Macaca fascicularis: one gene and its partners. The protein of the gene in region 4 purifies or fractionates together with the protein of the main gene of each other region. This does not show direct contact. Links are inferred from orthologs where the notes say so. Each region holds a gene or a part of one and is shown on either strand. Other genes may lie near its edges.

The links.
Region 1: the proteins of PPP1CC (region 4) and RASSF7 purify together in Homo sapiens (affinity purification with mass spectrometry; 4 studies listed by BioGRID and IntAct, counting the BioPlex papers as one, with this or other methods). This does not show direct contact. The link is inferred for Macaca fascicularis from reciprocal best matches to the Homo sapiens genes PPP1CC and RASSF7.
Region 2: the proteins of PPP1CC (region 4) and NCOA5 purify together in Homo sapiens (affinity purification with mass spectrometry; 3 studies listed by BioGRID and IntAct, with this or other methods). This does not show direct contact. The link is inferred for Macaca fascicularis from reciprocal best matches to the Homo sapiens genes PPP1CC and NCOA5.
Region 3: the proteins of PPP1CC (region 4) and PPP1R9A purify together in Homo sapiens (affinity purification with mass spectrometry; 6 studies listed by BioGRID and IntAct, counting the BioPlex papers as one, with this or other methods). This does not show direct contact. The link is inferred for Macaca fascicularis from reciprocal best matches to the Homo sapiens genes PPP1CC and PPP1R9A.
Region 5: the proteins of PPP1CC (region 4) and PFDN6 purify together in Homo sapiens (affinity purification with mass spectrometry; 4 studies listed by BioGRID and IntAct, with this or other methods). This does not show direct contact. The link is inferred for Macaca fascicularis from reciprocal best matches to the Homo sapiens genes PPP1CC and PFDN6.
Region 6: the proteins of PPP1CC (region 4) and WBP11 purify together in Homo sapiens (affinity purification with mass spectrometry; 4 studies listed by BioGRID and IntAct, counting the BioPlex papers as one, with this or other methods). This does not show direct contact. The link is inferred for Macaca fascicularis from reciprocal best matches to the Homo sapiens genes PPP1CC and WBP11.
Region 7: the proteins of PPP1CC (region 4) and UBXN2B purify together in Homo sapiens (affinity purification with mass spectrometry; 3 studies listed by BioGRID and IntAct, with this or other methods). This does not show direct contact. The link is inferred for Macaca fascicularis from reciprocal best matches to the Homo sapiens genes PPP1CC and UBXN2B.

The regions. Positions count from the first base shown.
Region 1 is NC_088388.1:454,470-458,758, reverse strand, and holds the start of RASSF7 (ras association domain-containing protein 7), read right to left. Parts: upstream 2,801-4,289; 5' UTR 2,681-2,800; intron 870-2,680; exon of another isoform or gene 379-869; intron 94-378; 5' UTR 87-93; coding exon 1-86. Other genes in the region: LMNTD2 (lamin tail domain-containing protein 2), read left to right, coding at 2,880-3,067, 3,167-3,319, 3,663-4,026, 4,282-4,289. UniProt on the Homo sapiens protein: Negatively regulates stress-induced JNK activation and apoptosis by promoting MAP2K7 phosphorylation and inhibiting its ability to activate JNK.
Region 2 is NC_088384.1:102,138,004-102,142,264, reverse strand, and holds the start of NCOA5 (nuclear receptor coactivator 5), read left to right. Parts: upstream 1-1,461; 5' UTR 1,462-1,607; intron 1,608-4,261. UniProt on the Homo sapiens protein: Nuclear receptor coregulator that can have both coactivator and corepressor functions.
Region 3 is NC_088377.1:126,051,346-126,054,845, reverse strand, and holds part of PPP1R9A (neurabin-1), read left to right. Parts: intron 1-250; coding exon 251-433; intron 434-1,804; coding exon 1,805-2,017; 3' UTR 2,018-3,500. UniProt on the Homo sapiens protein: Binds to actin filaments (F-actin) and shows cross-linking activity. Binds along the sides of the F-actin. May be involved in neurite formation. Inhibits protein phosphatase 1-alpha activity.
Region 4 is NC_088385.1:117,610,167-117,613,666, reverse strand, and holds part of PPP1CC (serine/threonine-protein phosphatase PP1-gamma catalytic subunit), read left to right. Parts: intron 1-308; coding exon 309-539; intron 540-3,500. UniProt on the Homo sapiens protein: Protein phosphatase that associates with over 200 regulatory proteins to form highly specific holoenzymes which dephosphorylate hundreds of biological targets.
Region 5 is NC_088378.1:138,412,978-138,416,236, forward strand, and holds PFDN6 (prefoldin subunit 6), read right to left. Parts: upstream 1,802-3,259; 5' UTR 1,770-1,801; exon of another isoform or gene 1,629-1,769; 5' UTR 1,542-1,628; coding exon 1,478-1,541; intron 1,251-1,477; coding exon 1,180-1,250; intron 1,099-1,179; coding exon 974-1,098; intron 714-973; coding exon 584-713; 3' UTR 501-583; downstream 1-500. Other genes in the region: WDR46 (WD repeat-containing protein 46), read left to right, coding at 2,219-2,296, 2,394-2,603, 2,707-2,787, 2,931-3,043, 3,166-3,253. UniProt on the Homo sapiens protein: Binds specifically to cytosolic chaperonin (c-CPN) and transfers target proteins to it. Binds to nascent polypeptide chain and promotes folding in an environment in which there are many competing pathways for nonnative proteins.
Region 6 is NC_088385.1:17,569,815-17,573,314, forward strand, and holds part of WBP11 (WW domain-binding protein 11), read right to left. Parts: intron 608-3,500; coding exon 506-607; intron 85-505; coding exon 1-84. UniProt on the Homo sapiens protein: Activates pre-mRNA splicing. May inhibit PP1 phosphatase activity.
Region 7 is NC_088382.1:68,400,521-68,404,020, reverse strand, and holds part of UBXN2B (UBX domain-containing protein 2B), read right to left. Parts: intron 1,028-3,500; coding exon 924-1,027; intron 1-923. UniProt on the Homo sapiens protein: Adapter protein required for Golgi and endoplasmic reticulum biogenesis. Involved in Golgi and endoplasmic reticulum maintenance during interphase and in their reassembly at the end of mitosis.

The DNA of each region.
Region 1 (4,289 bases), on a different chromosome or scaffold from region 4:
GTGGTCTGCTCCGAGACCCCACAGACCACACGCTGGATGCCATCCACCCACACCTTCAGCTCCATGGCCGCCAGCCCCAACAACATCCCTGTTCTGTGGGGAGGGTACAGGCCACAGGGTCAGGACCTACCTACCCCTATCGAAGCCTGGTCCTCGTCTCTTCCTTCTCCTGGCCTGCCCTAGAAACGGCTGGGCTGCGACCCCTCCGCATGGGCCCAACCCTCCTGTGCCAGCCCCACCCGCCGGCCACACATTCCTAGGGTGGCGGCCCTCCGGAGCACGCATCCTCCCCCACTTCACCAGCCTACTCTTGCCACGCCCGCACTCCCGGAACAAGGAGAATCATTAACCAGATCCAGGATTTCCTGCCCGCCTCACCTGGCTCGGAGGGCACTGCCCCCTCCCCGGGCGGCGCGGAGGCGCCCGCACGCCAGGCCCCGCGGCCGCCGCCATGGGAACGCCCCACCCGGACCTGCTCAGGCCGCAGAGGCGCTCGGGGTCGCGACCAAGACCTCGACCCTGCAGATCGAGCGGACTCCGGGTCTGAGCAGCCCCAGCCAGCGCGGGGAGCCCCGCCGCTGCCGCCCAATCGCTGCACTCGCCCCGAAGGTCCCGGTCCCCGCGGCAGGCAGGGATGCCCGCGCCGCGACCCCAGCCTGGCGGGAGCCAGGGCGTCCCCGCTCCGCAGGGAGGGCGCAGGTGCGGCACCGCCCCCGCCCTCCGTCCCGGCATCGCGGAAAACTCTCCCCAGTTGGAGTCGGCGCCCTGCCGGCTAGAGGAGCGCCCCGCACTCGAGAGGCCCCGGGACCCCGCGCGGCTCACCTGGGCGCTCGCCAGCCTCTGTACCCGCTCAGGCGCCGCCGCAACCTGCCGCCCCCAGCGCCGCGGCGCGCCCCGGACCCGCGCCCCCATTGGCCCGCGGCCCGCACGCCCCGCCCCCAGCGCCTCTATTGGCTGCTCAGCGCGGGTGTTCCGCCCCCTTCCCCGCGCCCATTGGCTGTCTCTGTCACGCCCCTCCCCGATCCATTGGCCTGCCGCAGCGCCCCGCCCCCAGAGACTCCAGGTGTGGGCGGGTCGGAGGGACGGGCCGAGCCGCGGTCCCCGCCCCCACCTCCACCCGGCTAACAACGCGGAAACGCGGCGGCTGCTACCCGCGGGCTGCGCGTCGAGACAGGTGTCCGACCCTGCTCCTGGGCCGACTTCGTCAGCAGCCTTCTAGTGTGTGGCGGGTTCCCGCCCAGGGAGGGTCTCTGGCCTGGGATCCCGCAACCCCCGCCTGCGTTGAGGGGCAGAGGGGCCAGCCCCTCCCCTCGCTTCCCGGGCCAGCCTTTGGAGCCCACCGCAGCGGCAGTAGCCTGGACGCGCAGGGGTCGCGGGGTCGCAGGATCACCAGTCGCGGCAAGGGAGGTAGAACTCTGCGGAGCTGGCGGGCGCCGAGCCCTGGTGCGGGAGGTGCCCGCTCAGGGGAAGGCCCGGACTCTGGCTGAGGCTCTTCTCCTACACCTTCCTGCCGCTTTTGGACCCAGTGCCAGGCCTTACGCACAGTGAAGCTGGCTGGAAGCAGCTCCTCCACCCCCTACCCTACTGTCCCGCCCAGGGCCCCGCAGCCTCGCGGTCATTGATTGCCATTGTGGAGCATTGATTGCCAGTTCCGCCCAGCTCAGAACGAGTTATGGGCGTGGAGGGGTCTCCTGCCCGGCTGTCTCCTGTGCTCCGCTAGGGAGCCCTTACATAGTCGAAAGTTGCAGAGGTGAAGAGTGAATGAGTGAGGGCGAGGTGGAGGGTGAAGGCTGGAATGCTTGGGTCTTGTGGGTCAGGTCTGGGACCTCGTTTTTGTCCTGGAGCAGAGGGAATACGTGCCATGGTAATGAGAATGCCCACAGGGTCCCCTGAGGGTAGCCCAGAGTGTGTGGAGATGGCTGGGAAAGGTGAGGCTTCAGTTTGGGGGTTCAGGTAGGTGAGGGCCTGTCACTGAGGTCAAAGGAGCTGTGGGCTGGGCCTGGTGGTGGAGGCAGGTGCCTGTAGTCTCAGCAATTCAAGAGATGGAAGTGGGAAGATCACTTAAGCCCAGGAATTCGAGGTTACCGTGAGCTGTGATCACACCAAGGCACCTCAGCCTGGGCACCAGAGCAAGACCCTGTCTCTAAAAAATTAATTATTAATTTAAAAAGAGGCTGTGGGCAGGGGCATACTATTCCCAGTTAGCGTTCAGCACAGTCCCCAGCTTGTCACTGTTACCTGTCTGCTTCCCCCACACACCCATGGCTATGCTGGGCTGGCCCACAGGCAGTAGTGCCCCCATATTTATCCCGCAGGTGCTGCCAGGCTAGGTAGGGGATGCTGGGGCCTCCCTCAGGGTGCTGGCCACTAAGTGGTCCCCCCGCTAAGCTGAGCAGTGGCTCAGCCTCTCACACCTCCAAGCTGGGCTGGCCCAGCCCAGAACTCACCCAGGGGCCTGGTCTGGGGTCTCCCTGGAGGCTCCTGGTAACAAACAGCCCCTCCCTTTCTGGGTGCTGGTGTCCATGGCAACGGTATAGAACCCTTCCCCGCCAGGCCTGCTTGGAGGTCTGGCCTCAGGTGAGTGCTGGGGGTAGAGCCCTGAACTGGGGGTACAAGAGAGAGAAAGAGGGACACCACATCACAGGCAAAGGGCCAGCACCTGGGTGGCAGGGGGACATACCAGGGACATGTCAGGTGGTGACCTGCTGCCCCATCCTGGTCAGAAACACACGGGTGTGGACATCCACATGTGAGTCTCTTCAGAGAGCGACGCTCTGTGAGCAGTGGTGCCGCCTGGGCTGCTCCAACCTGTGTGGCCACATGAGGCACACATAGCCAGCTTGGGACCCCCACCCCTCCGCTCCTGAAGAACATTGAGAATGGCCCCCAAGTCTGGCCAGGGGGTTGAAGAAGCCGAGGAAGAGGCTCTCCTGTCCCCCACAGAGCGAGAGTCTGTCAGTGGTCACCGGGGACCTCCAGCAGGCGCACCTGCAGCCCCCGAGACCCCCACATGCCTGCCAGACACCACGCCCCACCCCACACGGGCGGCCTGCTCTGCTGACCTGCAGTAAGGAGGGGAGGGAGGAGTGGTGAGCCTCCTGGGCCAGGTGGCCAGGGGCCCAGCCTGAGTAAGCAGCAGGGGCTGCTGTTGCTGCTGCTGCTGCAGGTTGGCTCTTGAGTCCCTGGACCCTCGCACACTGCGGCTGCTGTGGAAGCAGCGAGAACTGGAGATCCAGGCCTTGCGGTGGGCCGTCCAGAATGGCAAGGACACCCGGCTCTGCCACATCCTGGAGGAAGTGGCAGGGATTTCACCCAAGAGGTCTGCAGCACAGTCCCCAACCAACCCAACCCTGCCCTGTCCTCGCCCAGACTCCTGGTTTCTGTCTGACCCCAATCCCAACCACTGAGTCAGATCCTTACCCTCATCCTCACCCATGCTGACCCTCCACCCTGATCCTAAGTTAACACGCTATAGCCTCAACCCTAACCCTGCGCATGTGGATGGGTGCTAGACTCCTGCCCAGACCAGCCAGAGGCTGGCTGGCCCCAGTGGGGCTGTACTGTGTGCCCTTGGGGCCGAGGTGGCAGTGGAGCCCCTGACCTGACATTAGGAACCCCCTGCCTGAGCGGGGTGAGGGCTGCTGAGGTCGCCCCTCCTCCAGGAGCTCCCACAGTCAGGAGAAGTTCCTGCAGAACCAGGTCCAGAAGCTGACCCTGGAGTTGAAGGAACAGAAAGAGCGAGCCCAGTGGGTGAGGCGGGGGCACAGGGAGTGGGCAGGGTCCTGGTGTTGGGGAGCCAGGCTGCGGCTGGCCTGGGGGCCTTCTGCAGAAGACCCCCCCCACCACCACCCACGGGCCCTCCCGGAGCAGGAGAAGGAGCACCTGGAGGAGCGGCTGTTGCAGACCACCCGCACGCTGCAGGAGGTGGAGGCCGAGCTACAGAACTTGCAGAAGTCCTGCCTCCTGCAGCTGGCCCGCTCCTCGTGGGTGGGCCGCATGCTACGATCCCAGACTGGCAGTGTGGAGGTGAGCCCGTCCCCCAAGCCCTCCTGCCCCAGGCTGCCCTCCCCAGCCCTCCCCCTCTCATCGGGTGCCTCTGCTGGGGTGCCCTGGCCTGCCTGGAAGCCTGCCCTGCTCAGGCTGCCTCTGGAACTCTGGGCTCCAGCAGGGAGGAATCAGGAGGCCTCAAAGCACAGGTGAGGTCAAAGAGAAGAGGTGCTGTAGGGGAGGGGTACCCTTCACCCCAGCCCCTGCCCACTGGCCTCTGGTCCCCTCTTGCAGGTGGTGAC
Region 2 (4,261 bases), on a different chromosome or scaffold from region 4:
GCTCCCTAAGCACAAGGATTTTATCTACCTTACCCTCTACTCTCCACAAAACCAAGTGTATAGAAAACACTCTTTAAACGCTTACTACACAAGTCACTGAATACATCTTTTGGCTAAAGTCCACTACCCACTTGAGGTACTGCCAATCATCTCTAAACCAACATTTTTCCCTAAGCTTGGTTATCTTAATCATCTAATTAATATGATTCTTCTTAAATTTTCATAGTATTAGGATCTATATTGGAGGGGAAGGAATAAGAATGAACATTTGTTGGGTATCCATTATTTGACAGACTTTATGCCTTTATTTCTAATTTCATACAGTCTTATAAAGTGGGAATTGGAATAACCCACTTTGCCTGTGAGTAAAGTTCTAGTTACACCCACTGAGAATCCCTATTTCTTTCCTTCACAGCGTTTATCTCAGTTTGCAATCACACACTCAAGTGTGATTATTTGCCTAATGCTATCTTTCACTAGACTGTAATCTCCAAGGTAGCAGAGAAGGGTCTGCATTTGCTCAGAATAGTGCCTAACAAGCAGGCATATAATAAGTATAGGGCTACCTAGTAGGTATGTAATAAACATTCAGTGAATAAATGAGTGGAGTGAACATGGGGGTAGATGTCAAAGAAATCTGGCTTCTTGTAGTGTTTAAATTCCCCAGGCACCATTTTTTCTTAGCAGGCAATAGTCACAAGGAGAAAAACTAGACCCCATGGAGTTTGAGGCGTTTCCAACACTAATAAAAGAGTACCTGATTCATATAGCTACGGCTGTGATTAATAGAGTGCATTTACTATTGTGTGAGCAAATCCCATTCCCTGTGATGAAATGAACAATACAACATTTTACAGGCTTCACGGTCAACAGTTACATTCTGGGAAATTTTTGACGTTTGAACGAATATTCCAAGAACAAATAACTCAAGAAGAACCTGTGACTATATCTCCAGAAACCTTTTGCCGCTTGTCAGTGAAACTAGTAAGAGTACAGAGCCTATTTAAATACAAATTTAAATACAACATTTTCTCTACCTTTCTGCTCTCTTTGTTCCTTGTGATCCGGAGGTTACAGGACTATATATATATATATATATATTCTCCAATACACGGGTGTACAGGGATTTGGGGTTTTTGTTTTCAGTTTTATGCAAGACTAAATCAAGGTATTTGGGGATTTGAATGTTCTGTTCCCACAGTTAGGGAGGAAGGAATGTGCTCCGAAAACAGAAGGAAAGTACTCTGGGGCGGGGGCTGGGGGGACCACCATGGGGCCCATCCTCAGCCTAGGACGCTGTTGCTAGGCAACTCCTTGCGTTCTCAACTCCCGCCCGAGAGCCACTTCCCGGCCCTCATTGCCAAGGAGATCGACGCCCCAACTCAGCCCTGCCGTAAACACGTGCGGTCTTGCGACAGTGCCGCGCCTGCCGCTACGTGCGCGTCCTCTGCCCCCATCTCCACTCTCCGCCCGGCCGCCATTGCCTCGTGCCCGCGCCGGTCGGTTGGTGGCGCCTTTGTCCTACGGCGGGCAGGTGGGCCGACGCGGAGGCGGCAGCGGCGGGCCTGAGGCGAAGGAGCGGCCGGGAGCCCGCCGCGCTGGTAGCGGTGAGTGCCGGGAAGCGGTGGCCGTCAGCCGAGACGTGGGTCTGACGGACAGGCGGTTGGGCGGGGGGCCTGGCCGGACGGGGAGGCTGAGGCGGGAAGGCCCACTCGACGCGCGGCCACGGCCTCGGCTCCTCTCCGGGTGCGCGCGGTGCTGCGCATGCCCGGTGCGGGGCGCGGCCTTCTCCGGTTCCCGTCAGGCCCAGGCCCGGCCGGCCGAGGCGGCCTGTGGTTTTCTGTGGTGGACGCAGGTCGGCGGCGTCGCATCGCAGCCGCCTGTCTGTGCACGAACGGTCGGTCACTAGGAGTCCTCAAGGCTTCTCTGTCTGGTTGAGCCGCACGCCCCGCACCCCCTTGTCGAAACAGTGGAGTCGCTCGCCCGCGGGTCCTCAGCGAGTCAGTGGCGCAGTCGGGATTCGAACCGGCCGCAAGGCGGTCCGTGGCACCGGGCGTTCTCCAGGCGTGCAGCGCCGAGCGGTGTACGGAGCGCTGTCCCCCGTCACCGCCTCGCGGCTCCTGACCGCATTCTCGGGGTGTCTCCTTGTCGTGTGACACCTCACGCGTTTTGTAGGCGCGAACCTCGGGCCCAGAGAACGGGGAAAGGAACTGTGCCCGGGTTTACCACGTAGCTCAGCGCCAGAGTCCGATCCGGCCGGCTTTCCAGGCTCCCGGCGCGGGGCACTATCCGCTTCCCGCCAGCGGGCGAGGGGCTTTTCTTAGGACGGCGTTGCCCACGTTTCAGTCTCGCGTTGCACCTTTATGTCCGTGGACCATCTGTACCGCTATTCACCAAATGTTACATTTTTTTAAAAATTCAAACTGACACTTTTTTTCTCCTTAAATATATTTAAGGCGGCAACTTCAATCACAAACCGGGTACTGGAAAGCCAGTTATTTTTCTAATGTTTATAAAAAATAAATATCTGTCTGTTGAAATAAACAGTGCGTCCTTGTTCCTCCTGAAATTATTCTGCGTTCCACACTTTGGGAAACGCTGCCCGAGGAGTGTCTGATTAATTGTGGTTATTCTGCCTTGCACCCCGTGCACAAAATTTTTCCCTGAGGCAAAGCAGATTCTCTGAATGCCCTGTAACAGCTTTCTTATTGTAAACTATTCTCATTGTTGACTTAAAAGTGTTAGTCCCAGGGAACTGCAAGAACTGTCACTCAAGTGCACCCGGTGTGCCTCAGTTACAGCGTTGTGATGTCATAGCCCCCTGATGGATGGCTCATAAAAAGATGTTTCTACAAATGGTGGGGAAGTTTTTGTGAGTTTTGACAACTCTTAATTTAATGTTTTCTCTATGAGTCAGTCTGGGTGTGAAAACTAACTTGGTGTCGACTTTTTGCAACCAGTTAAGCCCATGCTTTGCATTGTGGATATTAAAAAATCACTTGACTATTTGTTAACATCTATTTCTTCCTTTACTGTAATTTCTTTGCCTTTCCTTGAGCTCATCTGTCACTCTTCAGATGGCCTTTGAAACCTCTGACACATCTTTTAACCTAAAACTTAGAAACACCGGTTTTCCTTGTAGAATATACAATATGTAACGAATCCATATTGCAGGGCTCATTAGAAGTTTTTCTAGATTCAGTTTGCTCAATGTTGCATACCTGTGAACACCACAAGTTTAAAGGAGGCATTGACAGATTAACTTATTTGTAAGTTAGTAGTGTGTTCATAAGATCTGTTTATGTGAATGTAAGAGCAGATTTAATTTAATTCATTGACAGGAAAGTCGGATCAGTCAGTTCAGGCTTATTCAAGTTTTCTTCCCCTCCCCTCGAAGGCTGCGTAAAAATACGTGTGTGTGTGTGTGTGTATATATGTATATGTGTGTATATGTGTGTGTATATGTGTGTGTGTGTGTATATATATGTATCTCCCCCTGTTAAAAACATGTTTCTTTGGGGTTACCTTGGTATGATCACAATGTAGAATTTACGTAAGGCTAAGGTCATTTTCTTCACATTTCTGAGAATTTGATTTAAGCCCGGCGTCCGTTTCAGAACTTCAGCAAATGGAAACTCATCTACCAGTGCTTGAGAGCTAAGAAAAAACAACTTGTTTGTTTTGTTTTTGTTTTTTTGAGATGGAGCTTTGCTCTTGTTGCCCAGGCTGGAGTGCAATGGCGCGATCTTGGCCCCCGGGTTCAAGCAATTCTCCTGCATCAGTCTCCTAAGTAGCTGGAATTACAGGCGTGCGCCACCACGCCCGTCTAATTTTGTATTTTTAGTAGAAACGGGGTTTCTCCATGTTGGTCAGGCTGGTGTCAAACTCACGACCTCGGGTGATCCGCCCGCCTCTGCCTCCGAAAGTGCTGGGATTACAGGTGTGAGCCACCGCGTCCAGCCAGAATAAACAACTTTTGGAAAGACTTTAGAAGTATGATGAAAAAATATTTAATGGTTTGAAACTTCATTTTAAATAATCGTTACAAGCAGTCCGTGTTTATGACCTGCAGATGGCAGTGCCTTTGTGTAATGTTCTACTTCTGTGAGGATTAATAAAATTTAGTTGTGCTTTTAAGAATGGAAAATCTTCACAGGAAATATATTAAACTTTTTCTTCCCTTCAGTTTACATTGTTCTTTTGGTTTTGACTTCCCACATGAAGAATGAAACGTCTATTCCTGAAGTCACTGTTACTCTTA
Region 3 (3,500 bases), on a different chromosome or scaffold from region 4:
TTTCTTCTATATTAAACTTCCTACATTAATAATGCTGCTTTTTTATTATGGGGGAATTTCTAAACTTCCAAAAACATAAGAACATATAGGTAATAAGTATTTTTTCTACCACCATTAGAACCATTAGCTTATCATATTTTGGTTTAAACATAAGTGTGGCTCTCATAGGTTAAGAAATTCCTTCTGATAGCATAATATGAGCCATAGTATCTTGGTCCTTTAACAACACTACGTAACATTCCTATCTCAGATCCTTGATGATGGACAGTCTCCCAAACACAGTCAGTGTCAGAATCGGGCCGTTCAGGAATGGAGTGTGCAGCAGGTTTCTCACTGGTTAATGAGCCTAAATCTGGAGCAGTATGTATCTGAATTCAGTGCCCAAAACATCACTGGAGAGCAGCTCCTGCAGTTGGATGGAAATAAACTTAAGGTAAAGAATTATATGTCTGTGTTAGGTTACCAGGTATAACTTGTATTACTCAAAGCACCTAAAATGTTTTCATTAGATAAGAGCACTCTGCATATCTGAGAGGTAATTCTCATCAACATTCAGCAGAAAGGATGTTGAATTCTTTCTGAGTAGTAAATGAAGTTTCAGAAAGTCCATCAGGGGTTCTAAATTAAATGGTAGGCTGCTGATTAGGAAAGCGAGGGACCCACTCCATTGCTTCCACCTGGCAACACATGGTCCATATATTAACTCTCCTTCCTTCTGATGTAGTGTGAGTTTTAATCATGGCCACTGTGGACTTTTTCATCACGTTAGAATTAAGACCCAGATCCACGACTCTTCTTTTCCTTGTTCATTTCTCCTTCACCTCCACTCTTCCTTACACACCACTCCCAAACTGGGATGATGTTTTCCCCAGAAGTTTTTTTCTCCAAGTATGTACACACATCTTCCCTCCCCTCCATGGCACTTTCATTTCCACTTGTCCAGTCCATCCCCCTTAGAGACCAAGGTGGCATCCATTCCTTTGGGAAAGGGAGAAAGGAGCTTACAGCCAACTCCATGTAACCCCAAGCTCCATGCCCCCGCCTCAGCCCCCTGCTGGGCTGACGGGCAGATGAGTATCTCTTGACAGTCTTGAAAAGGTTAGAGATCAATCAATAGCTTGTGAATATGAAGGCCCCATTGACAAGGCTGTCCCTGTTGGGGAGATAGATAGATGCATCCTGCTGTTGATTCTGAAGGTCACGAAACATTTAAAGTACATAAGCAACTCCCCTTATTCTGAATTCTAAGTTCATCGAGCAACCTCCTCATTATAATCAAGCTTCCTTTATAGGTCTACCTACAGGGAAAGAATGGTTAGTCATGCTGACACGAGCATTCTGGCCCCAAAGACACTTTTGGTTCTCATTGTAATGAAAACATTGGCAGAAAGGAAGCTGTTTCAATTCTTCTTGCCCTTCTTGGAGCCCTCTGTGACAGCAGGTGTTCACTCCTATGCTTTGAAAATATTGATGAGTTTAGCAATACCTTTACCTATAAATGTCTACAGCCTAAAGGTCGGAGAAGTAGAATTGTGCCTTTTTTCCATTCATTCACCCATTAATTACTAATTTGGAAAGCATTTAATTAATGAGCTTTAGGGTATACTTTGCAAGGGACTTCAAAGAACAAAAGAAAAAGGGTAGCCCCCAGTGTGTTAATTTTTAACAAACGTAACTAGCTCTTCCTCTTTTCTTATCTCTTTTATGTTTGAATTAGTTTACAAACTTGAACATATGGTATATTAACATCATCAGAGGGCTCACTGGTTTTCAAATTCAGTTTGTGTGTGTGTTTCCTTCTTAGGCTCTTGGAATGACAGCATCCCAGGACCGAGCAGTGGTCAAAAAGAAACTCAAGGAAATGAAGATGTCTCTAGAGAAGGCTCGGAAGGCCCAAGAGAAAATGGAAAAACAAAGAGAAAAGCTAAGGAGAAAGGAACAAGAGCAAATGCAGAGGAAGTCCAAAAAGACAGAAAAGATGACGTCAACTGCAGCCGACGGTGCTGGTGAGCAGTAACACATACCCTCTTACTGAAGATGGAGATTATCCAAGAGAAGTCCCCACCTCTTCCTGCCCTGCTCTCCTCCAGAGGATGAAGAAGAAACTAAATGATAAGGGTAATGCGGCTCTAGGCCGGCTGAGGAACCGTGTGTTGAATAACTGCATTTTCTGCAATAGAAGGCACTCTTAATTTTAACTACTGACATAGTCCCAAGCCACCTTTGATTTATTAACAAACCAGACATTTCATTTAAGTAGCTGTGTTTTGCTCTTCTCTAACTTAGCAACATCTTGTGTTGTGTTGGGTGTGTTTTGTCACTTGGAGAACTAGCTTGACCCCACCCAACAAGAGCATGATACACCCTGGTGTTGTTGATGGAGCACTGTGAATTTTCAGTTTGGGATCCTGAAATGGCAATTGCACTTGTCTGCATGGCAGAGAGCACCCTGCCATGAGATCTGGACCAGTACTTACTTCTAGGGCTGCAAAACCTACTCCAGTGTGTGGGAAAGATTCACTCTTAATTCTGAGTCTGGACAGTAAGACCACCCTGCTGTGGAAACATGGATGCTCTGCTCCATAGTTACCTACTAAGGGAAAAGGCAAGCAAGCCATTCTGCTTGCTAGGCATCAAAAAGAAAGAAAAGAAATTATAGCTATTTGTTAACCACTGAAAAAAGCAAAAGCCTTAAGATTGTGTATGTGAGTATTACCTTAGGTTCTGAGAGTAATATTTATCCTCTAGATATAGCTGAACACGAAAGAAAAAAAATCAGACATTAATGCAGCCATGGGATATTGGGATCTGTTGACCTTGCTACTGTTGTGTGTTCAGCATCTCAGCAACACTGGCAAACACAACACAGTTCCCCTTCCCCCCACCCAACCCAAGAAATTGAACAGGAAATTGATTTTTAAGGAAACCACCATTTTCAGGTTTCCTCTCCTGGGGAACATTCTGGCTGGTCTTCAGCCTGTCTATGTCACAATCAGGAACTCATCACATAGTTTCTACTCAAGATTTCCCAGGTGGGCTCAGTTAGTGTTTTAACAAATGTACTTTTAAGAAAAGTAGAAATACCAGTTTGAGGAAATTTAGATTTGAATAATATTCAACTGGAGAACCAATTTTTTTTTTTAGTACAAAGAATGTTCCTATAAAGAAGAACTGTCAGTTAACATTTTAGGGAGATTTTGAATGGTTTTTCTGAGCCATTCCTTTCCATACTTTAAAGATTTCCAATTTTACGGAAAAAGTTTGTTTAAGGCAGTGCATAGGATACACTTTAGTAGTGGAGGAACTTATACTAATTTTAAGCCAGTATTAAGGATTTCTGTATTTCACCAAACTAAGTCCTAAGTGCAGGAGACTGGGGCAGAAGAAGGAGAAAATAAACTCATTTTGAGAAATTTCGTGTGATGAGGGTTTTTTGGGTTTTTGTAGTTTATGCTCATGTATCTGGTTCTCTTTGCTGCATTGACTCTAAACTGAGGTTA
Region 4 (3,500 bases):
ATACCATGTTACTTGGCAAGAAGGCATGCCTGGACATAATAACCCTTTCCACAGAATAAATTCTTAATTAGTTGAATTTTGTGTGAGGTTCTGGACATACACATATACTTAAAAATTTTATTAAGTTCAATTGAACTAAATATGATGCCAGTTTGGAAATTACTTAGTGTTGGCTGTCCAATTAAACTCTCATTACTAGAGGTCAATGCCATTGTACAATGAATTTTTAAAGAATTTCTTTCTAAAGCTTTGTTAGTGGATTGAGCTGTAAGTATGGGAACACTGTGTAACAAAATTCTTGCTTCTAGGTGACATCCATGGGCAATACTATGATTTGCTGCGACTTTTTGAGTACGGTGGTTTCCCGCCAGAAAGCAACTACCTGTTTCTTGGGGACTATGTGGACAGGGGAAAGCAGTCATTGGAGACGATCTGCCTCTTACTGGCCTACAAAATCAAATATCCTGAGAATTTTTTTCTTCTCAGAGGGAACCATGAATGTGCCAGCATCAACAGAATTTATGGATTTTATGATGAATGTAAGTACTTTTCTATATCTCAGGAAGTTATTGAAATTAAGATATTTATCATAAACAATTATCACGTACTTCTGTTAGGAATTGTGAGAGTTTAGATGCAGTGGTATCATCTCTCATGTTTTCTATTTCATCAACTTGTTTTTAACTTAGCTTTTTAGGGGAGGTGGGGGAACAGAGTCTCACTCTGTTAACAGCCCAGGCTGGAGTGCAGTAGCACCATCTTAACCTCATTGTAACCTCTGCCTCCCAGGCTCAAGCGATCCTCCTGCCTCAGCCTCCCAGGTAGCTAGGACTGCAGACATGCATCACCACGCTCAGCTAATTCATGTATTTTTTTGAAGAGATGGGGTTTCACCTTGTTGCCCAAGCTGATCTGAAACTCGTGGACTCAAGGAATCTGCCCACCTAGGCCACTCAAAAGTCCTGGGATTACTCGTGTGAGCCATGGCGCCCAGCCAGTTTTTTCTCTCTTGGGTAGAAAAAGAACACTGCCGCTATAATAAAATAAGGTCTTGGATTCTTTTATGATGTGATGATCAGATTAGGAAATAATGATCATGGTAGTGGTTTCTTTAAGATGTAAATTGTTGTATTCACAGATAACTTAATTCTTGGTAGAAATCTGAGAACCATTCTAAATAGTTTTAAGCAACTTTATTATGTAATTTCATTCCATAAAATTAATCTGTTGAAAGTATACAATTCAGTGATTTGTAGTAAATTTATAGTTAACGCGACCATCTCACCGTAGCCCCCAGGCAACCACTAATCTACTTTTTGTCTGCTAGAGAACATTGCATGCAAATGGAATCTTGGCAATGTGTAAATAATTAGTTTTTGAAATTATTATGGTTTTTCTCCTCTGGCATAACCGCACCCAGGAAGAATGGCAATAACTTTCCTAAAACTAAAATGTGCTGAACAAAGATTATTTTTACAGTATTTTACGCATTTTGTGACTCATTTTGGATTGTTTATTTAAAGGTGCACTTTGATTTGACTATTGACAAAACACAGTTCTTAAAGCTTTGCAAATAGGCTGGGCGCAGTGGCTCACGCCTGTAATCCCAACACTTTGGGAGGCCACGGCAGGTGGATCATGAGGTCAAGAGATCGAGACCATCCTGGCCAACATGACGAAACCCTGTCTCTACTAAAAATACAAAAATTAGCCAGGCGTGGTGTCAGATGCCTGTAGTCCCAGCTACTTGGGAGACTGAGGCAGGAGAATCGCTTGAACCCGGGAGTCGGGTTCAGTGAGTCGAGATCACACCACTGTACTCCAGCCTGGGTGGCAGAGTGAGACTCCGTATCAAAAAAAAAAAACTTTGAAAATAATCAGTTTGATAAAGGGTTTTACGTCAGAAAAGGTTTTGAATCTTTACCTTCACCTTCCTTTTGTGCTTATTTCTGCCAGGAGGGGTTTCAGGTTTGGAGTGAAGGGGTGGGGTGGTTAAGGAACTTCAGGTAGTTGGCATTTGCTAATATGATTATAGGGAGATCAGCAAAGTGTTGTCCCTGTGGCCCTCCCCTAGACCACATCCTAACTTAGAGTCTCCAGATGTGTGTTTTTCCATCTCAGTTCACATAGATGCAGTGAGCTAGCACATTTGTTAGAAGTGCATCCTAGAAAGATTATATTCACAGACTGAGCCCTTCTACTACCACCCTTTCCCACTACTGGATGTTTGCTTGGTCTGTGTCCTTGAGATCCAGCTGGTAAGATGAGGTGGCAGGAATGATCAGGGACAAAAATTCTGTGGGTTCTGGACTGACTGATACCATTGAACCTGTACAGGAAAGATATTCGATATTAACAGGGATTCTGTGTCAAAGAAGTACCAGTAAGCCAGTTACTACTCCTTAGGTAGTGAAATACAAGGCAGATGTGGTGGGTTTTTTTTGTTGTTGTTTTTTGTTTTTGAGACAGAGCCTTAAGCTGGAGTGCAGAGGTAGGATCATAGCTTACTACAACCTGTAATTTCTGGGCTCAAGCAATCCTTTCACCTCAGCCTCCCTAAGTGCTGGCATTACAGGCATGGGCCACCACACCCAGGCAACATTGTGTTTTGGATACTTATTCCAAGTGTTACTCTTGAGTTAAGAAAGGGTTCCTTTTACATAACTGTTAGCCCAGTAAATACTTTTCATGTTTGCACTGATGAATTCAAATCCATTTGACCTCATTGTTGTGACTTCTATCCTAACGTAATGATACTAGCTGCATCAGTTTCAGTTTCTACTCAATGCAGAGGCCTTTAAAATGACTTAGAAGATCAGTGTCGGTTGGTATCAGTTTCGACTCCTGTTTGATCATCAACACAGTTTATAGATCAAGCATCCTCTCTCCCATCAGGCAGATACAATTTGCCATCCAGTCTACTTGTGGGCATAAAAGTGCCCTTGACATAGGTGGCTTCTGGTTGAAGGCTTGCAGACATTTAGTATATATATTATATATATTAATTTTATTAAAATGAAAAGTTGTATTCAAATGTTGATTTTCATGGGACAATTTTAAAACCACTGCCTGTTTTCCAGGTACATAAGTACTTTATACTACCATTTCTTTTTTGTTTGTTTGTTTAAATTTTGCAAATGTGATGAAAAGGCTGAGGTATATGTTGTTGGGTAAAACAGGAGTGTTTGTTGATCCATTTCTGCTATCGGAGCTGTCTGATGTACAGTAATGGGAAACTGCATTACAGGTTATGGCTCAGAATCTTAGGATTTGGAAGCTAGACGATTTCCCTGGTTAAACCTTTTAGGACCCAGATGTTCCTAGTGGTTTGAGGTGGCCTTAGGGAGGATATGAAGAGAGAAGAGAAAGAGACAGCCCCACGCTTCAAGTGCTGAGAGGCAAAAGGAGGAAGCAAACTGATTTTTCATGGAGAGGCCAGCAGAAATCGGCAAGAGAAGAAACTGGAGTTTGTGGCATAACTAAAGAATCAAAGGCCGGGC
Region 5 (3,259 bases), on a different chromosome or scaffold from region 4:
GACAAGGAAATGGCAGAACAACTTTATGGACAACATATAAACTTGGGAGGACTTATACACTACAAAGCATTACGTGCTGGGATTTTAAGTCAGTTTAAGCTACATTCAAGCAAATTCTAGGAAGACAGAGGCTGAAAAGTACCAATAGAGATGCCAGGGCTGCTGGCAAAGAGGGTAACCACATTTCATCCTGGGGCCTCAGGTTAGAGAACCGTGAATTCTTTTTCAATTGAACTGACATTCCTAGTAATACGCTATGTTGTAAATGCCCTTCCAAAATAATCATGCCAACCAAGATGAGGGAAAGTTAAGGGTTGTATATACAGGCAAGAAGTAGGTTTGAGGACATTTAGGATTTCACTTTCAAGAAAGAAAGAACATTGTGCCACAAAGAAGTTCCAAGTGCAAGAGTTTGAACCTGAGGGGGTAATACAGGTGGTGTGTGTGAAGGTGGAAGGGACTGTGGGGATATGACAGAAGCGCCTGGTCAGGAAACGGAGCCAGGTGTTTTTACATTTTATTAGCTACAGTATAGATGCTAGAGCTGCCTCATTCCCTCCCCTCCCCTCCCCCCACCAAGGGGTCAGGCCTTGCCAGGAGCCCCTGCCTTTGCCGCCTGGGCCCGCTGGAACTCCTGCTGCAGCTGAGCAAGGGTCTCCCTCTGTTGCTCTGACTGCCGCTCAAGATCCCGGAGCTGGGATTCATATCGCTTACTAAAGAGAGACAAGGGAGACAAGTAGAAAGGGAGAAATTAGTAGGACTTACTAAGGAGGGTGCTAAACGCAAGAAAGAGATAGGTGGAAAACTTGAAATTAGGGAAGGGAGAAGGGGGGTTAAAAGGGAAGGAAGGGGTTGGAGGAACTGGAGGACTAGGGGCCACTATGGAGAGCTGTTCTGCAATGGTTCAACACCTCTACTCCAATGATTCACTGCATCACAGGGTGCAGCACACAGTGGTGGAATAAAGACTCACATTTCAGCTGTGATATAGTCCAGCCTCTTCCCTACTGTGGCCCGAGCCTCCCCCAGCTCCTGTTTGACTAGCACCGGACCCAGAAGTTTAAAGACCACGTTGGACCCATCCAGCAGGGCCAGTTCCTGATGGAGGGATGGGACATACGTGATCAGAACCATGGCTAGTACAGGTCCCTCCTCGCCCCACAAATCCCAGTCCCTCACCTCTTTCACGATATTATTTTCTGTTAGTTGTGCTTCAAGTTTCTGCCTCCCCGACATGGATTTACTCAAGTCTGGGGATAAGAGGAAAGGCAAGATTAGAAACATCAATCCTAGTCAGGTGGATATGGATCTGAGGAAGCAGAAAAAGATGGGGGCAGCGGGTCAGTGAATAGGGAAGAGTACTGAAGCGGGAAAGTCTCTGCACGCAAGGGCCCAGATGGGGCAACAAACCTTATCTCGGTAATGGCTTTGGGTTGTGAGTGCATTGGGCGAGGCCATACCGACCCTGCTCCCTTACCCTTCTGTAGCTGTTGATATTTCTCCACTTCTCCCTGCAGCTTCTTCTGGATCAGCTCCGCCATGGCAGGGATGAAAGCCTACGGGGAGCGAGACAAGGGCGCTGCGTCTCACTCTCTGGAAGGTACCTGAGCTCCCTTTTCTGATCTCGCCTGCGGAAATGATAGCACTCTTGAGAGGCAGCCCTGAGGGGCACCGCCACCTCCCCCCCGTCCTGGGTATCGACTCCACCCCGTCCCCAGGATATGGTGGGCGAAACGCAAGACCGTAAGCCTCTCAACCGAAATCCCAACCTATTCACGTTCTGCTTTCAGTAGTAATAAACCCGGAAGTAAACGAGGAATGCCGGGAAAAGACTGCGCCGGAAGTTTCTTTCTGACCCTTGATGGGAAGTGTAGTTCTGACATGTTTAGCGAATGGAGTTCTGCTACAAAGACTGGACTCGGATATTTTTAGGCAAGATGGGGAAACTAACCCGGAAAAAGAAACCGCACCGCTACTTAGCCCCTGGTCCCGGGCCTGCCTTTCTTTTGTAAGTCACTCTTGCATAAGCTGCCGCTCCCGATAAGGTGCCAAGAGCTCTTCCGCCCCTCTAAGGAAAGCGTGCCCTCACTCAAGATGGCGCCTAGAGAGCTTCAGACCTGGTACGCTGCTGATTGGATGAAGGATAGAGGGCTTCCGGGAGTTTTCAAGCCGACTGTGGGGCAGCTGAGAGAAGTTTTGCACGTGGATCGCCGTTCGGATGGGCGAGATGGAGACAGCCCCCAAGCCGGGCAGGGATGTCCCGCCCAAGAAAGACAAACTTCAGACCAAGAGAAAGGTATCGGCCTCCCTGGGTGGGAAAGGAAGTTTTTTGCTGCGGGGTCGGGGGGGCGGGGCGTGGGTGCGGAGTATCAGAGTTCCTGATCTGCTTGTAGAAACCGCGGCGATACTGGGAGGAAGAGACTGTTCCGACCACAGACGGAGCCTCTCCAGGGCCTCCTTGTAACAAGAAGAATCGGGAGCTCCGTCCTCAGAGACCAAAAAATGCTCACATATTAAAGAAGTCTCGGATCTCTAAGCAGCCTCAGGTCCCGAAGAAACCCCGAGAGTGGAAGAACCCGGAGTCCCAGCGGAGCTTGTCCGGGGTGAACGTGGAACCTAATGGGTGGCGAGGCAGGGCGCCTTGTGCTTTGAAAGGGTTGGGGTCAATCCAAGGCTGTCTACTAACTGCGTTCTCCTTTCCCCTAGGCCCAAGATCCATTCCCAGGCCCCGCCCCCGTCCCTGTGGAGGTGGTCCAGAAGTTCTGTCGTATTGACAAATCCCGAAAGGTGAGGTCCAGCCGGAGAGTTGGGAAGTGTTGGAGGCAGGGAGTGTCTGAGTGAGTTGAATGGAGGCTGGGCTAGGTAGCTCTCCTGTGACCCCACTTATCCTATGGTTCTTCTGCCACTCCTCCCCACCAACAATGTTATAGCTACCACGTTCTAAAGCCAAAACTCGAAGCCGACTTGAGGTGGCTGAAGCTGAGGAAGAGGAAACAAGTATCAAAGCTGCTCGTTCTGAGCTGCTGCTTGCTGAGGAACCGGGGTGAGTGGGCCCTAATCTGGACCCCCAATCCTTGCCTTATAGGACTGTCTTTTCTCGTTTTTATGTTGGTACACTTGCTTCATATTGGGAAACTTTACTGCTATCCTAACCCTTGCTTTCAGGTTTCTGGAAGGGGAGGATGGGGAAGACACAGCAAAGATATGCCAGGCTGACATTGTGGAGGCTGTGGACATTGCAAGTGCAGCCAAGGTGAGC
Region 6 (3,500 bases), about 100 Mb from region 4:
CTGCTTCAGAGTCATCAGAATCATCTTCATCATCGTCCTCTGAAAATTCCTCTACTTCCCGTCCCTCCTCAGGGATTTCTTGACCTGAAAGAAATTTTAAACTCAGTAAATGGAGTTGATTCACTTTTTTACAGTTTGGAGAACAGCAATGACTGAATACACATGGTTAATAAATGTGTTCTTAAAATTAAAAACCAAATAGTCTTCTTCAATAAAATACTTAGATGTGAAAGAAATACTATTCTATACTCATCTGTATTAGTGTAGCATAGTGGAATGAACTCAGGCTTTAAAACAAGACAGACCAATATTTAAATGCCAGCCCAACCATTTACTTGCTATGTAACTTCAGGCAGCCTATATGATGGTTCCAAATCTTATTTTTGTAAAACAAGGACTTCTTACTTACTTGAAGGTTGCTGAGATACTAAATGGAAAAATGTATGTAAAGCAATTAGCGTGAGGATACACCAAAAGGTGATTCACTATTTTTTCCCTGTCTTACCTGCCATACGAAGCATCATGGCTTGAAGAGGAGTCAGTTCCTTCATGTTCTTCTTTTTCTTCCTTGATTTTCCAGGCATATCTGCAAACCGTACACTCAGACCTAAGGGGTCAAAGAAGGGAGTAGAGTAGATTGGGATCAACAAAATTCAGTAAATGTTTACTATATAATAGTATAAAGTACTAGATATGACTGCTACCCACTACTTGGCAGAGGTGCAGGATGAGACAGCTATATTAATGATATGAACACCCAGATAAAAACAATGTTCTAGAAAATATAAATTATTAAAGTTGGTCAAAGAGGTGATAAGCCCAGAATATACAAAACTTAAATGGTAGTTGAAGATCTACTCCTTAAAGGCTACAAATAATTTTAGGAGGAAATTCAGCCAAACATTAAGTTACAGAAATTTCCTGATAAAGAGCATAGGAAAAGATGAAATGTTACCCAACTCATGAAGTTAGCTTAAACCTGATACCAAAACTCATCTATTGGCCAACATAAAATATAAGCAAGTTATACATGTTTATAGCAGCACAATTTGCAATTGCAAAAATATGAAACCAATCTAAATGTCATCAACCAACCAATGGTTAAAGAATGGTATACATCCACCATGGAATACTACTCAGCCATAAAATGGAACAAAATAATGGCCTTTATAGCAACTTGGATGGAGTTGGAGGCCATTACTCTAAGTGAAGTAACTCAGGAATGAAAAACCAAATACTGTATGCTCTCACTTGTAAGTGGGAGCTAAGATATGATACCATGGACTTTGGGGACTCAGTGGGGAAGGGTGGGAGGGGAGTGAGGGAAAGGAGACTACAGACTGGATACAGTGTATACCCTACTTGGGTGAGGGATGCATCAAAATCTCAGAAATCACCATTAAAGAACTTATCCATGTAACCAAACACAACCTGTTCCCCCAAAACTATCAAAATTAAAATTTACAAAAAGGAAAAAAATATATAAGCAAGTTGAATCCAAGTGTTCTAAAAGCCAGCAATGTAGTTCACTACAATAAAGAACTTACAAAGAACAAAAAAAAAGTTACATCCCAACAGATATAAAAAAATACTTATGATTAAAAAAAAAAAAAAACTCTTAGCAAGCTAAGACTAAAAAGAACTTTTTTTTTTTTTTTGAGACGGAGTTTTGCTCTTGTTGCCCAAGCTGGTGCGATCTCAGCTCACCGCAAACTCTGCCTCCCAGGTTCAAGTGATTATCCTGCCTCAGCCTCCCGAGTAGCTGGGATTACGGGCATGTGCACCCACGCCCGGCTAATTTTGTATTTTCAGTAGAGACGGGGTTTCTCCATGTTGGTCAGGCTGTCTCGAACTCCTCACCTCAGGTGATCCACCCACCTCAGCCTCCCAAAGTGCTGGGATTACAGGCATGAGCCACCGTGCCCGGCCTAAAAAGAACTTCTTAATTGACTAAGGCTATCCATTGGACGTTGGATAGGAGTATTTTTAGTTAGTAAACATTTTAGGAGCAGAATAGTTCCATGTGAACAGGACTTTAGTTTTGTTTACCCTGTATCCTTAGTGCCTAGAAAAAATGCCGTGTGTATAGTAAAAACTCAATAAATATTAGCTGAGTGAATATCAACTCAGAGTTGGGATGGTCATTTTCAGAACATGTGTATTGATGAGAATATATAAGAAAAATGTGGTTGGGTGCTGTGGCTCATGCCTCTATTCCCAGCACTTTGGGAGGCCAAGGTGGGCAGATCACCTGTGGTCAGAAGTTCGAAACCAGCCTGGTCAACATGGTCAAACCCCGTCTCTACTAAAAATACAAAAATTAGCCGTGCATGGTGGTGGGTGCCTGTAATTCCAGCTACGTGGGAGACTGAGGCAGGAGAATCGCTTGACCCCCAGGAGATGAAGGTTGCAGTGAGTTGATATTGTGCCACTGCACTCCAACCTGGGTGACAAGAGTGAGATTGTCTCAAAAAAAAAGATAAAAGAAAAAAGAAAAAAAAAAAAATCTGTCGGCAGAATAAAAGAAAAAGAAGGCAAGAGACCACATAGACCCAGAAAAAAGTGGAGCTGCCGTGGCTCTAATGGCTTTCTACTTTCCAGTACTAGTTCCTACCTAACAGTCCTGTATAATAATCTTTCATTACCAGCTCTATTATTTTTAACTAGCTTTTTTGTGTTTGCAACCACAATTCTTAAGACACAGCAGGAGAAAAATTTGTCATTATCAATATTAACATTAGTATTACATAGTATTATATAAATATTCTGTTGTAGGCTACAAAAACAATCCCAAAAGAAGCTCCAAAACTGCTGAGGTTTGATAGAATTGGTGTGCATTTTGCACTGTCAGTACCTATTAACGATGCTTAAAATTTTCTTGACAAATGTCCTATTTGAATTTTTTTTTTTTTGACACGGAGCCTCACTCTGTTGCCCGGGTTGGAGTGTAGTGGCACGATCTCGGTTTACTGCAAGCTCCATCTCCTGGGTTCAAGCCATTCTCCTGCCTCAGCCTCCCAAGTAGCTGGGACTACAGGTGCCCACCACCACGCCTGGCTAATTTTTTGTATTTTTAGTACAGACGGGGTTTCACCCTGGTAGCCAGGATGGTCTCGATCTCCTGACCTTGTGATCTGCCTGCTGCGGCCTCCCAAAGTGCTAGGATTACAGGCGTGAGCCACCGCGCCTAGCCTGAATTTTTTAATAATAAACATACACATTATAGATACAATATGTTTCATGATTCCACTCTTGAGTGTACCTGGGTTATAAATATGATCCTGGTTCATGTAAGATACTATAAAAGGGCTTCAAAGGTAGATATTTAAACAGATTTATAAAATACAACATCAATGTTTTTCTTAATATGGCTATTCTCCTTTCCTATAACATACCCATAAAAATACATGTTTATGCTGTTGAATAGTTATACCTTTTACCCCGAAGTGAACTTTTGCATAGACATTTTTATTACACACAGTTTGTTTTTCCTCATAAAC
Region 7 (3,500 bases), on a different chromosome or scaffold from region 4:
AGGTAAAGTGTCATGATGGCTACAATTTCCTTTCAAATAGTTGAGTAAAAAAGAGAGAGAATACATGTGTACACAAGTTCAATGTAACATTTTAACAACTTGATGAATACAGGTGAAGTAAACACAGTATTTACTAGTCTTGATTTTTGATGAATTGAAAACTTACAAAATGGACTTTCTGAAAATAAGATATAATGGGAAAACTGACATTTCTTCCCCAGGGATGATACTTACAGTACTAAAAAGATGTAAATGAAAATATTCCTGGCAACAAGAAAACTCACAGCAATAAAATACACCTGATTCTCATCTCTTAAATCTTCATAGTTGGCTGTTTTTATACTTCAGGGATTTTAATAACAACAAATACTATTTAGGATGTCACACACTGGAGGAATCATCACCCAAAGGAGGAAAAGACAGACTTCAAAAATCATAGATTCTTAAATGGAGGACAAAAGACCTGCAGAGGCTCCATGGAGTGGCTTCAAGTGGCTTCAAGAAACACACAGACTCTTAAAAATGAATGACAAACTTGCACATGAAAGTTGTTTTGAGAGGAGAATTCTACAGCTTTCATCAGACCGTTAGTGAGTCCTACAACTCAAAAAATATTAAAGAACCACTGTGCCCAACAAAAATAGTATTCAGGATATAATTTCATATGATATGTACCAAAATATTAGATATTTTAAGGTAATTTTTCCATAAGTTTCTTTTAGCTTTCTGATTGTAAAAGTTCTTAAAATAGTAACTAAATGATATTAATCTTTTCTTTTTTATCCAAATCTGCCTTGCCCTTGGAATAATTTTTAAAAATTACTGAAGAAACCTTGAAAAAGGCCATTTAAAACAATTTGAAGTTAGTAAAATTTTAGAAAGAATTGTAATTTCTTTTTACAACAAAACAAAATAAAACTTACCGTTGAGGTGGTGTCCGTGGGCTCTTGAAGACTGCAGCTTTAGGTCTGTTAGACTTGGAAGATTTGCACTTCACTTCATCTTCATACAATTCTGCCAAGGCCAACTACATAATAACAGGCTTGTTACAAAGTATAACACTAGGAATAACCTCTTAACTACAACTAGAAGTTATGTATAGAACATTAACTTAAAATTGAGTGGTAAAGGCTTTTCATGAGAAAAGCTGCTGCTTCAGATGATTCCTTTCTGAGATAAACTTACCACATCTCATTTTATGGAACTAACCAAAACGCCACATCTATTAGAATAACTTTAAGTTATAATAATTACTTGATTATTTTCAGTTAACTATTCAACAGTGTCAAAATCTGTTTTAGGTAACAAACCATTTTCAAATTTAAACCTAAAATTCATGTGCAATTCTTTTAAGAATTCCTGAAGATGTTCACACTAATGTCAGCTTCTTTCATCAGATCTCATAAAATAATTTCATTCAGCTATTCAAGTTTTCAAACTCCAAGCACATAAAACAACTTCAGAAGTATTCTATTTAAAAGTCTACCAAACATATATATTTCAACCTGTTTAGGAAAACAAGTTTCTGAACAATACAAGACCATAAATTTTATATGGTTTATATACCATTTAGAAAGTAATATTACCAAATTATACATTCTAGATATTGGCTGGATAGTTTATTTCAAAATGAAATAAAACTATATTTGTTCTTGAAATGGAATTTTAAAAAGTAGTAAAATATTTCAGTATTGTATAGAATTTTTTCCGACTTTTGACATCTTTGGATAACTCAACAACGTTCCTTAATGATCCTGTGGCTATTCAATTATAATTGGCATTACCATAATCTCTGGGTTGTTTTTTAAAAAAAACCCAAAACAAAAACAAAATAGATTAAAATGCTCCTTTTAGACACATAAATGATATTAAAACTACCTCCAAGAAGAACAGGGCATTGGGGCAACATTAATTCTTTAAAAATTATCTTAGTCAACTTTTAAAATATACACAAATAAAACAAAATGAAAGACTTCTAATTTTTTTCCCCCTACCCTCTCACATTCAGTAACATTCATATTTGTACCAGATTTGCTAGAAATATGAATCATAAAAGTGTTTGGTAATCTAAAAGGACTGAATTTAAATCCTAACTTAGGCACTTACTGTGTGATCTTGGGCAAATTATTTAATTTCTCTCAGCCTTAGTTACCACATCTTCAAATGTCTATAAAAAAATCACCACAGAGTCATTTGAAGGATTAAATAATGTATGGAAAGCACATTCACATGCTTTGTGAATATCTTCTAGTGATGGAAGAATCATATCTTCCATCACTAGAAGATATTATTCTTAAGTGTTTGGCAATGATTTTATCAGTATTTCCTTTTCCCCAAGATTTTTGTTTCTTCCCACAGTGTTGTATCTCCTTATGGTCCTTTATTACCCCATCCCCTCCAAAAACACAAAACAAAAAACAAACAAATGACAGAGGAGAGACAGACAGACATGCACATACAAAGTCTGATGACTAGGGACAAAACTTTTCAGAAATTTTACCTCCCTGAAATTTCTTTAAAGTAATACTATTTTATGGATTTCCTTCTGAGTTATGTCAGCTGTATGAATTACTTTTATGATACTCCTACTCTCATCAATGAAAATGTCATCTGTATTTCAAAGGCCCATTTCAGCTCTCCTTCACAAAACCTTTTCTAATTTTCTTAATGTCTTTTTTCAAATACTCATGGCACGTGAAACCCCAGTGACATTCATATTAAGCATTATGTTGTCATTACTTGTGTACTTTTGCTGTTTTATTTCCCCAAGTAGATTTTAAGTTTCTCAAATTGTTTCTAATATTGTATCTAAAAGGCAACAAATTCACGTTGAATTATATAAAGAACATAGTATAAACGAATCAGAAATAGATATAGACAGATTGATTTTAAATTGGGGTTATATTTGCTATATGTTTTTTGCTTTAACAAGATTTAAATAAATACTTTCAATCAAATAACAATTTTCTTTGGTGACATAAATTAAAAAAGCAAAAATGCCTCTGACCCCATGGAATGTGGAACACACATTAACAAAAGAGGAATATGAGGAAAATGATATTGAAGAGTCTACCTGGCTGAAAGATCCTACTTATTAATGGTACATCATTAAAAACTTAGAAAATGAGTGGTATTTAGAGGCAGTTGATGCCATATGGCATCATATGGCATAAGTTCATTAGTAAATACTACAAAGAAATTTAATTTATATTATTTAACATAGCAGATGATACTACATCAAAAGAGGAAATGATAATTTAAATTGATAAATATTAATTGAAGTACTGGTCAAAACTAACACAATAAAATCTCAAAACATTATTAAGAAAATGTTTCAATAATATGCAGAGGATAAACTATGTAAGTAAAGTATTGATAATTTTTCCTCCAGAATTTGAAATGTGAAGAACTTGAAACCTGAAAGCAAAGGAATTGGGTAAGAAAATCAAGTATACAGCATTAAAAGTACTGGAATTCTCAGCCTTAGAGTAACCAATTCT